Linked DNA regions of Arabidopsis thaliana. The protein of the gene in region 2 interacts with the protein of the main gene of each other region in a pairwise test. Each region holds a gene or a part of one and is shown on either strand. Other genes may lie near its edges.

Region 1 (3,838 bases), on a different chromosome or scaffold from region 2:
CATATACAGAACGTCTCGAAATAATACCTGGGGCAGGAGATTCAATTAACCGAGATTCAGAAGCGGAAATCTTACCTCGACCATCAATAGGGTTAGCCAAGGCGTTTATAACACGCCCCAAATAAGCCTCACTCACCGGTATCTGAGCAATTTTTCCCGTAGCTTTGACTGAACTTCCTTCTTGGATCATCAAACCGTCACCCATTAATACAACACCAACATTATTGGATTCTAAATTAAGGGCAATACCTATAGTACCCTCCTCAAATTCTACTAATTCACCTGCCATTACTTCATCAAGACCATAAATACGAGCGATGCCATCGCCCACTTGAAGTACGGTACCGGTATTTACAATCGTTACTTCTCTATTATATTGCTCAATACGTTCACGGATAATATTACTAATTTCGTCGGCTCTAATGGTTACCATGAGTATTGTCCTGATTCTTTTGTTGGAAGAAAAAAAAATAATGCCTATAATAATCGTAAGGAAATAATTAATCAGTTATTTCTTTCATCGTACCAAACATCCCAATATTTGCATTAATAGTACGTAAATGTAACTCATTACTCAAACAACTATTTAGGGTTCCTATAGCTCCTTGTAAAGCTTGTTGGAAAACCCGTTCGCGGACTTGATTAATTGTTCTTTGTTGCTCAAAAAGAATGGTTTCATTTTTGTAATTTTCTAATTGTTTCAAAGTTTTATAAGTTGAATTAATCAAATTCAATTTTTCTCGTTCGATTTCAGAGTATCCATTCACGCGAAACTTATCCGCTTCCGTTTCTACGTTACGCAAGCGCGCCCGGGCATTTTCTAATTGTTGAATAGCTCCTTCACGCAGTTCTTCTGAATTTCGAATAGTATTTAATATCCTCTGCTTTCGGTTATCTAATAAATCATTTAATGAAAGTAGATTATCTTTCCATTCATTAAAAAAAAAGTTCTATGATCCCTTCCCGAACCAAACATGAATCTTTCGATTCATTTGGCTCTCATGCTCACTTATTCCAATCAATTATTTATGAGACTTCCCTTCCCATCTTTTTCATGCAATGAGCCTACCCTCTCCCGAGTTTTTTTATTCAATTCATATTCAATATATATTTCTATCGAAAAAGATCACCAATCCAAGATAAAAATATTCGGAGGATTCTTCTGACCAATGAAAAATTAATAATTGTCAGCAAAGTTGTTTCTTTTTTTCTTGAAATCCAAAGAATTCTTATTATTTTATACGTAGGTTATCAATTCTGCATTATAAAAAAAGACTCAAAAAATTTTATCGACATGAGTGTTTTATATCGAAAAAAGTATAACAATTCTTTTTGAAAATTTTATTCATTTTTTTATTTAGTCTACATTTAGACTATATATAGTAGAAAGAGTACCATGTTGCATCTGAACTTCAAACGGTTTAGCTTTAACCATGTTAATTAATTGTCCCAATTTTTGGTTAATAGAGAATCAAAGTAAAGCGGACTTACCAAAGAATAACGAAAGGCTATGGTTCTCAAATATGATTTTTTTATTCAGAAGTAATTCGCGGGATTATGCACTCTTTCCTAGTTATAGTGCCACTGGGTGAATCCAGCCTATTCTTGAAATGAACAACTCACACACACTCCCTTTCCAAAAAAGATCAATACACCGAAAACTACACTTAGATTTATTGGATTTGTTGCTAAAATATCGGTATTAAATCCGAAACTCCCGGCGGATGGCCAGTGACCCAAGTAAACGAAAGAATCGGTTAAATTTTTCATATAATCTCCTCTTCTAGCTAAACTATAAAAAAGGAACTCTGTCCTTTTTTTTTTATTCTTTTTATTGAAAATAAAAAGAAATTTGAATTTAATAATTTAATTTACCTATTTGGATATTTGTAAACAGAATCAAAAACCTATTCTATTTACAAACGTATTTTCCAAAATTTTTAATTTTCAATAATAATAATGAGACTTATTAGAATTAAGCTAGAATTTGAGACCAAGTTTTATGTCAAGTTCAAAAAACCTAAACCTACTTTTTTCGCAACACTCCTTAAAAAAAAGTTTCTATTAAACTAAAAGAATAAGGGGAAGGAAGAAAGCGAATCGATGTGCTAATTCCCCATCCTCAAATTAGTCCTTCCCAAGGATTGTTGTCTCAATGAATAATTGTAGGAGTTAAATCTTGATAGAATTAAAAAAACTACAAAAAAAATCCAGAATTTTGTGATTTCTGGGCTTAAACAAAAGGATTCGCAAATAAAAGCGCTAATGCTACAACCAGGCCATAAATTGTTAAAGCTTCCATAAAAGCCAAACTAAGCAATAAAGTACCTCGTATTTTTCCTTCTGCCTCAGGTTGTCTCGCGATACCTTCGACAGCTTGACCCGCAGCTGTACCTTGACCGACTCCAGGTCCAATAGAAGCAAGCCCAACAGCCAACCCAGCAGCAATAACCGAAGCAGCAGAAACCAGTGGATTCATGATAAGTTCCTCACACCAAAATAAAGAAATAGTTAATGATACAATCATCCAATGACTTAGGACGTAATTCTAATTAAGTAATCGCTAAGATTAATCCAGCCAAAAAAACCAAAAACTTTAATTGAAATATGAAATAATATAATAAAATTATTGAATCATAAGAATTACTTTGATAGTAGTTCCTATCCGCGGGATTTTTAAAAATCCATAATATATATACGACTTTTTTATGCCATTTTTTTTATGAACCATTCTTTGAATTCTTCGTTCTTTTTTTATCATTTTTTCAGCCAATTCACAGATAAAAAGGAAGAACTTCTAATCGAATCCCTATCTAAATCTAAATAGAAATTCACAAAAATAGTAGAGCAGATTCAGATTATATAGATCTTTAACTCATATATACCTAGGCAATATCAAATATCACATATACAAGTGTTTCTTACATAATGTAAACCAACTATTCTATAATTAATTGGGCTAACCTAAAAAAGAATATTAAAAAAAAAACCATTAATGATGACCTTCCATAGACTCACCTATATAAGCCGCAGCTAAAGTGGCAAAAATGAGAGCTTGAATCCCGCTTGTAAATAATCCAAGGAACATAACAGGTATAGGAACCACTAAAGGTACTAAAGAAACAAGAACAACAACGACTAATTCATCGGCTAATATATTTCCGAAAAGTCGAAAACTAAGTGATAGGGGTTTTGTAAAATCTTCTAAGATGTTAATGGGTAAAAGAATTGGGGTTGGTTGAATGTATTTACTGAAATACCCTAATCCTTTTTTGCTAAGCCCCGCATAAAAATAGGCTACTGATGTGAGTAAAGCTAAAGCAACCGTCGTATTTATATCATTCGTTGGTGCTGCTAACTCCCCTTGAGGTAACTGGATAATTTTCCACGGTAAAAGGGCTCCTGACCAGTTAGAAACAAAAATAAATAAAAACAGGGTTCCAATAAAGGGAACCCATGGACCATATTCTTCTCCAATCTGGGTTTTACTCACGTCTCGAATGAATTCAAGGACAAATTCAAAGAAATTTTGGCCGTCAGTTGGAATTGTTTGTGGATTGCGAATCGCTAGAACTGCGGAACCTAATAAGATAGCAATTACAACCCAAGAAGTAATAAGAACTTGGGCATGGACCTGGAAACCCCCTATTTGCCAATAGAAATGTTGGCCTACTTCTACACCAGATATCTCATATAACCCTTCTTTTATTAGTGTGTTGATGGAACATGATAAAACATTCATATTGCCCTCTGACAGAAATAAGAACTTTAAATTATTTTGATTCAAGACCCCCCCTTTTTTTTTACTTATTTACTTAAATTTTATATTTTAGTTTTG
Region 2 (5,222 bases):
ATCGTCGTTCTAATTTTATCTCATCAAAAGCATGTGTCTCCATTTATGTTAAATAACATGGTAGTAGAAACTTTAAAAAGTTAATAACTAATGTTCAGTTCGAGTATCATGAAAATATCCACCGCACAGTAGTCGCCAGTTTGGTTATGTCACTCCAGACCAAGCTTAAGCCACTCCAGACACAAGGACTTGAGGCCGCATTGTAAGGAAGTGTTGCAATCGTTGCATCATCTACTGGAAGAACCTCAAGAGGATCCTCTAAAGGCTTAGGACTAGGAGTAGGTTTTTGATTAGAAGAGGATGGGTTGTTAGGTTGAATAATGGGTGTATTATTCTCTAGAAAAAACTACAAACCAAAGTCTCAAACGTACGTAAGAAGTTAAACTAAAAGAAAAAAGACAAAACGTGTGTAAATATATCAAACTAAGATGAGCAAAGAAAGTAAAGGAAGGAAGCAGAGTCCAATCCAAACATTAGAGTTTGAAGCTGCACTATGTGGAGCTGGTGATGGTCCCATCTGATACTGTACTGGAGCATGATTAACCGGTGACTCAGCCAACGGAGACTGTGAAGGAGACGAAAAAGAGCTTGGTGGTCGGACGGGTCCAGGAACCGGAGCAGCGACAGGTCCCAATGAGGCTGGTAATACATGGATTTGAAGCTTTTGTCCCATGTCACAGTGACCAGGAAATCCGCATATGAAGTGTTGGAGTCCCGGTTTGGTTAGAATGACGATATCAGACCCGGTCTCGTATCTTGCTAGCGGTTTGGACGGTTCACACATCTCGTAATCATTGTGAGTGACTTCGGTGACGTCGTGGAAGTCTTTGTTGTATTTGAAGACCAAAGAGTCTCCAACTTGAAAAGTTATTGTAGATGCCCATGTCTCGTAGTTGACGCTCATAATCGTCCATCCGTCGGAGTCACCAACTTTGTGAACGGTTCCTCCAACGGAAATTCCAAAAAGTGCTACAAGAATAAGCAAAGAAGTAAAGAAGGCGTTGCTTTTGATCAAAGCCATGATCGATTGTTGTTTGAAACGAGAGAATTAAGCAGCAAAGAAAGAAGAAAACAACTATGTAAGAGATATTATAAAGTTTTGAGTTTGTGTTGGTGAGAAGTTGAGAGAGCACTACGTTGTTTATATAGACCCGAGGTCTCGTTTAAGGTAACCCTTTTCTCTTTAAGAATTTGACGATTTTATATGTTTTTCTAAATCAAAAATATATTATATTTTGATAATTCCTAGTGATAATTGTTAAGGTCATTTTTTCCCTTTTTGTTAAATATATCCAGAAATTTATTAATTCTTAAAGGTATTAATTTATTGAGAGATTATAATAATTTTGTAATTATTTTTAAAAAATTATCTCATAAGAAGTTTTTTTTTGTAATTAATATCTTTATAAAATTATATTACTTATTAAATTTTAAAAACACACAAACTTTCTCGATGTAATAAAATATTAGAAATGAACTATTTCGAAAATTAATACAAATTTAAGAAAAATATCATATTTAATTTTTACCAATTGTTTATTTCACCAATTGTTAGAGTCATATTTAGGGTCTAATTTATACTCCCTCCGTCCCATGAAGATGGATTTTTTAGAAATTTCACATTCTTTAAAAAATAATATATAATGACAATTTTAATCTCTTAATACTATTTAAAAATAATTATTACCATTTATTTAATTATTTAATAAGGGTAAAATAGGTAAACAGTTCTAAAAATTACATTGGAAATATAAAAAATTATTTTTGTGGGACAAATTTTTTTCCTAAAAAATTTATTTTTGTGGGACGGAAGGAGTATTCTTTAACACACATACAACGATTAGGATTTATATACAAAAGATATTATCTTCTTTTAATTAATTAATTAATTTATTTTTATTTATTTATTTATTTTTTAATTATTGTAAGTTAAGATTCCATTTTCGCATCTTTTTTTTTCCGAATTTCCTTTTTTGTAACATTTTCTCAAATTTTTAATGAAATGTTTGTTTTTTTGGTGGGAATATTTAATGAAAATATCACGAAGTCCAAAATTGCCACAAGCTGAGATTTTTATTTTATTTTGCATCATCATCATCAATATCATTCATCATCATCAGACATCAGGTGCGTCATAAGCTCCACAAAAAACTCATCCATGGCGATTCTTAGTTACATCTCAGCAACATCAACCACACCACCAATTCCTCAAGATCAATCTCCCAATTCTCGTCTACCAACCAAAATCATTCTACCCAATAAGAAACCTGAGAAATGGTCCACCGGAGTTGCTCCCGGAGAGTACGGTGGTCCTCCGACTACCACCAAGCTCCGAAAGTACTGGGGAGGTGAAAAAGAAGATCCCATTACTTCCACAGACTTAATCTGGAACAGAGATTTTATGGATCAAATGAAGAAATTGTTTGATGATCCTAATGATTCTTCTCTCGACCCATCTCCTTCAAAGGTTCAATCTTTATCCCCCCAAATTAGCTCAACTTTAAGGTTTCACTAAATCTCTTTAAGGTTTTGTGATTGCTTACAGGAAAAGTCTTCTGGGTTTCTGAGCTTTAGCAGAGTTATGAGTCTTGACAGGTTCATTCTCCTTTAAACTGATAAAAATTAGTTTTTTATTTCTTGCATTTTGATTAATGGTTGATTTGTTTGTTGTTGTTATCTGTGGAAAATTAGTATGGATGTTGATTTAAGTAAAGAGCTTGCATCGTCTTCTAAATCCGTTGTGAAAAATCGTCTTGACACCTCCAAGTCAGAAGCTAAAAAGCAAATGGTGAGAAGCCAATTTGACAAAGCCACATTGCTATTTCTTTATGTCTCTGAAGTTTACTCTTTTTTGTCAATATCATTAGAGTAAGGCTATTGTGTCTCCTAAATGGAAGCTGGCACCTACACGTCGTGAGCAAGAGAAATGGGATAGAGCAACGAAGGCTGCAACTGGTGGCAGTGTAAGTTTATCTTTGCAATTGATGGATCACTTGTGCTTTGATTTATTAATTCTATACCAATTGAAATGTCATTTTCATTGTAAACATTGATCAGAATTGGCAAAAATGGATCTTCTTGGTTCTTAATTCCTTCCTTCATTTCTAATGTGTGCTGCAGGATGTGATGTTTAGGGAGCTGAGACGGCCACGTGGTGACCCAGAAGTACAAGCTGCTAAAGACAGGGAACAATATTTTAAGGTACCTTCTTTGGTTAGCTAATCCTTTCATGGTATGACAAATATCATGTATTGCTATCTCATGAAAAGGCAGCTTGTATAAGCACTACTCTTTACCTTCATGGGCAACTCCGTTACTTTTGAAGCATTCAGTTCCTAGTCTCTTGACTTTTGGATTGTTTTCTGCAGCTGAAAAATAAGATTCAGGTTCTCACACTCGGTATTGGTGGTGTTGGTTTAGTCTCAGCTTATATCTCATACACCCCAGAGATAGCACTTAGGTTTGTCTTCTCATGCAATGAACATCAAAATCTCGTTAAGGACTTTTTAAATCAATCTTAATTTGTGTTGAATATTTTGTTACAGTTTTGGTGCTGGCTTGTTGGGTTCACTTGCATATATGAGGATGCTTGGTAACTCTGTAGATGCCATGGCAGATGGAGCCAGAGGAGTTGCCAAGTACTATATGTTTCTCTTCAAATTCTTATCAGTTATCTATGTTGAGACCACTCACTCACTCACTTATCTCTTTTGTTCTTTGGTCTTACTGAATTGATTTTATAGAGGTGCAGCTAACCAGCCACGGTTACTAGTCCCCGTTGTGTTGGTTATGATATTCAATAGATGGAACGCGTAAGCACCTCTCTCTCCGTTTTGCATTATATATCTTTCATCCAAAATCAACTTGGTTACATCAATCATATTTACTTGTGACTTCTTCATATATTGCAGAATACTTGTTCCTGAGTATGGATTCATGCATTTGGAGTTGATACCAATGTTGGTTGGGTTCTTTACTTACAAAATTGCTACGTTCTTTCAAGCTATAGAAGAAGCCATCTCCATTACTACTCAAAAACCCGAATCAATCTCTCCAGACACACAGGCCAGTGATTAATAAGGTCAAGGTCAGTGTTGTAAGAAATGTAATTAAACACAGAAGTGTTAATGTAATAAAAACTAATAACTCATAAACTCATTCATACCAGCAAATCACCAAGAGATAGATAGCTAGAACATATAAAGCAAATGCAGAAAGAGTGAAACATAGAAAGTTAATGACTTTGAAATTTTTAGACCAAACCGGGTCCAGTGTTGGTTTGAGTGTATTCTTCGTTGAGTTTGCCTTCGTAAACATAACCGAGCTTCTCACAACACTTCTTAATCTCTTTGACATCTTTCTCCGAGCAAGTATCATCGGAAACAACAACGGTCGTTTCGTTTTCTCCCGTTTCATATTTGGCAACTGCTTGATGATTCAGAACTGCAATCTTGACGACCTTGTCGTCTCCAAAAGTAGTGCAAGAAATTACTCTAGCTTCCATTTCTTTATTATTGTCTTTGGGTTTATTACTCTGCTTTTTGGATAGGAATAATAAAGAGTATAAGGGTGATGGATGGTTTATATAGAGAACAATCATGTGAATGATAATTAATGGTCAAATCACGAAACATGTATGCATGTAAAAAACTGTAAATGGACCACCAGATTTGGTTATTATTTGAACAATAAAGTTGAATCCCTGAAATTGCTTCATTTTACATGACTCAAGTTTTCCAGTTCTCTATCTTAGAAAGTGAATGCCACAACAACAGTATAGTGTTAAGGCACAATTTCCTATAGTTGTAGTAGATATATGTTTTACCTTAGGCAACCAGAAGAAAAAAAAAAAAAAGTGTTAAGAGTTTTATGGTAGATCGCAAGCAGAAGAAAATATAATATAATTTTTTTGTATCAACAATCATTTATTTGTTCTCATTAGTATATACATATGTATAGCTTAAAAATCAAGGTTATGGCTATGATACCAGATGGTGTAGATAACACATATATTTTTGTTTAGTCTAAGAATGTCCAAGAATCTATGTTATCTTATTCCGTTAAGAACTCTCAAGTTCTAGCCACAACAAGTATTTAAGAGTTGAAATGCTCTTTGATTTAATTAAATAATGCCGTGCCTTTACAAAGCTATCGACTATATATAACAAGATACCAAACCTAATCCTTTAAGGAATCGGAAACTAAAATGCTTGTTGATCAAG

What was found.
Region 1: the proteins of AT2G31040 (region 2) and atpF interact in a protein complementation assay, tested with the Arabidopsis thaliana proteins (one study listed by BioGRID).

Annotation. Positions count from the first base shown.
Region 1 is NC_000932.1:11,029-14,866, forward strand, and holds atpF (ATP synthase CF0 B subunit), read right to left. Parts: upstream 1,771-3,838; coding exon 1,626-1,770; intron 911-1,625; coding exon 501-910; downstream 1-500. Other genes in the region: atpA (ATP synthase CF1 alpha subunit), read right to left, coding at 1-433; atpH (ATP synthase CF0 C subunit), read right to left, coding at 2,234-2,479; atpI (ATP synthase CF0 A subunit), read right to left, coding at 2,993-3,742. UniProt on the Arabidopsis thaliana protein: F(1)F(0) ATP synthase produces ATP from ADP in the presence of a proton or sodium gradient.
Region 2 is NC_003071.7:13,207,949-13,213,170, reverse strand, and holds AT2G31040 (ATP synthase protein I-like protein), read left to right. Parts: upstream 1-1,982; 5' UTR 1,983-2,158; coding exon 2,159-2,467; intron 2,468-2,545; coding exon 2,546-2,595; intron 2,596-2,691; coding exon 2,692-2,788; intron 2,789-2,867; coding exon 2,868-2,963; intron 2,964-3,120; coding exon 3,121-3,201; intron 3,202-3,368; coding exon 3,369-3,460; intron 3,461-3,545; coding exon 3,546-3,638; intron 3,639-3,743; coding exon 3,744-3,812; intron 3,813-3,911; coding exon 3,912-4,077; 3' UTR 4,078-4,252; coding exon of another isoform or gene 4,253-4,504; 3' UTR 4,505-4,547; downstream 4,548-5,222. Other genes in the region: AT2G31050 (Cupredoxin superfamily protein), read right to left, coding at 419-1,021; AT2G31035 (oxysterol-binding-like protein), read right to left, coding at 4,253-4,504. UniProt on the Arabidopsis thaliana protein: Facilitates the assembly of the membrane proton channel of the chloroplastic F-type ATPase. Specifically required for the efficient assembly and integration of the CF(0) subunit c into the chloroplastic ATPase complex in the thylakoid membrane.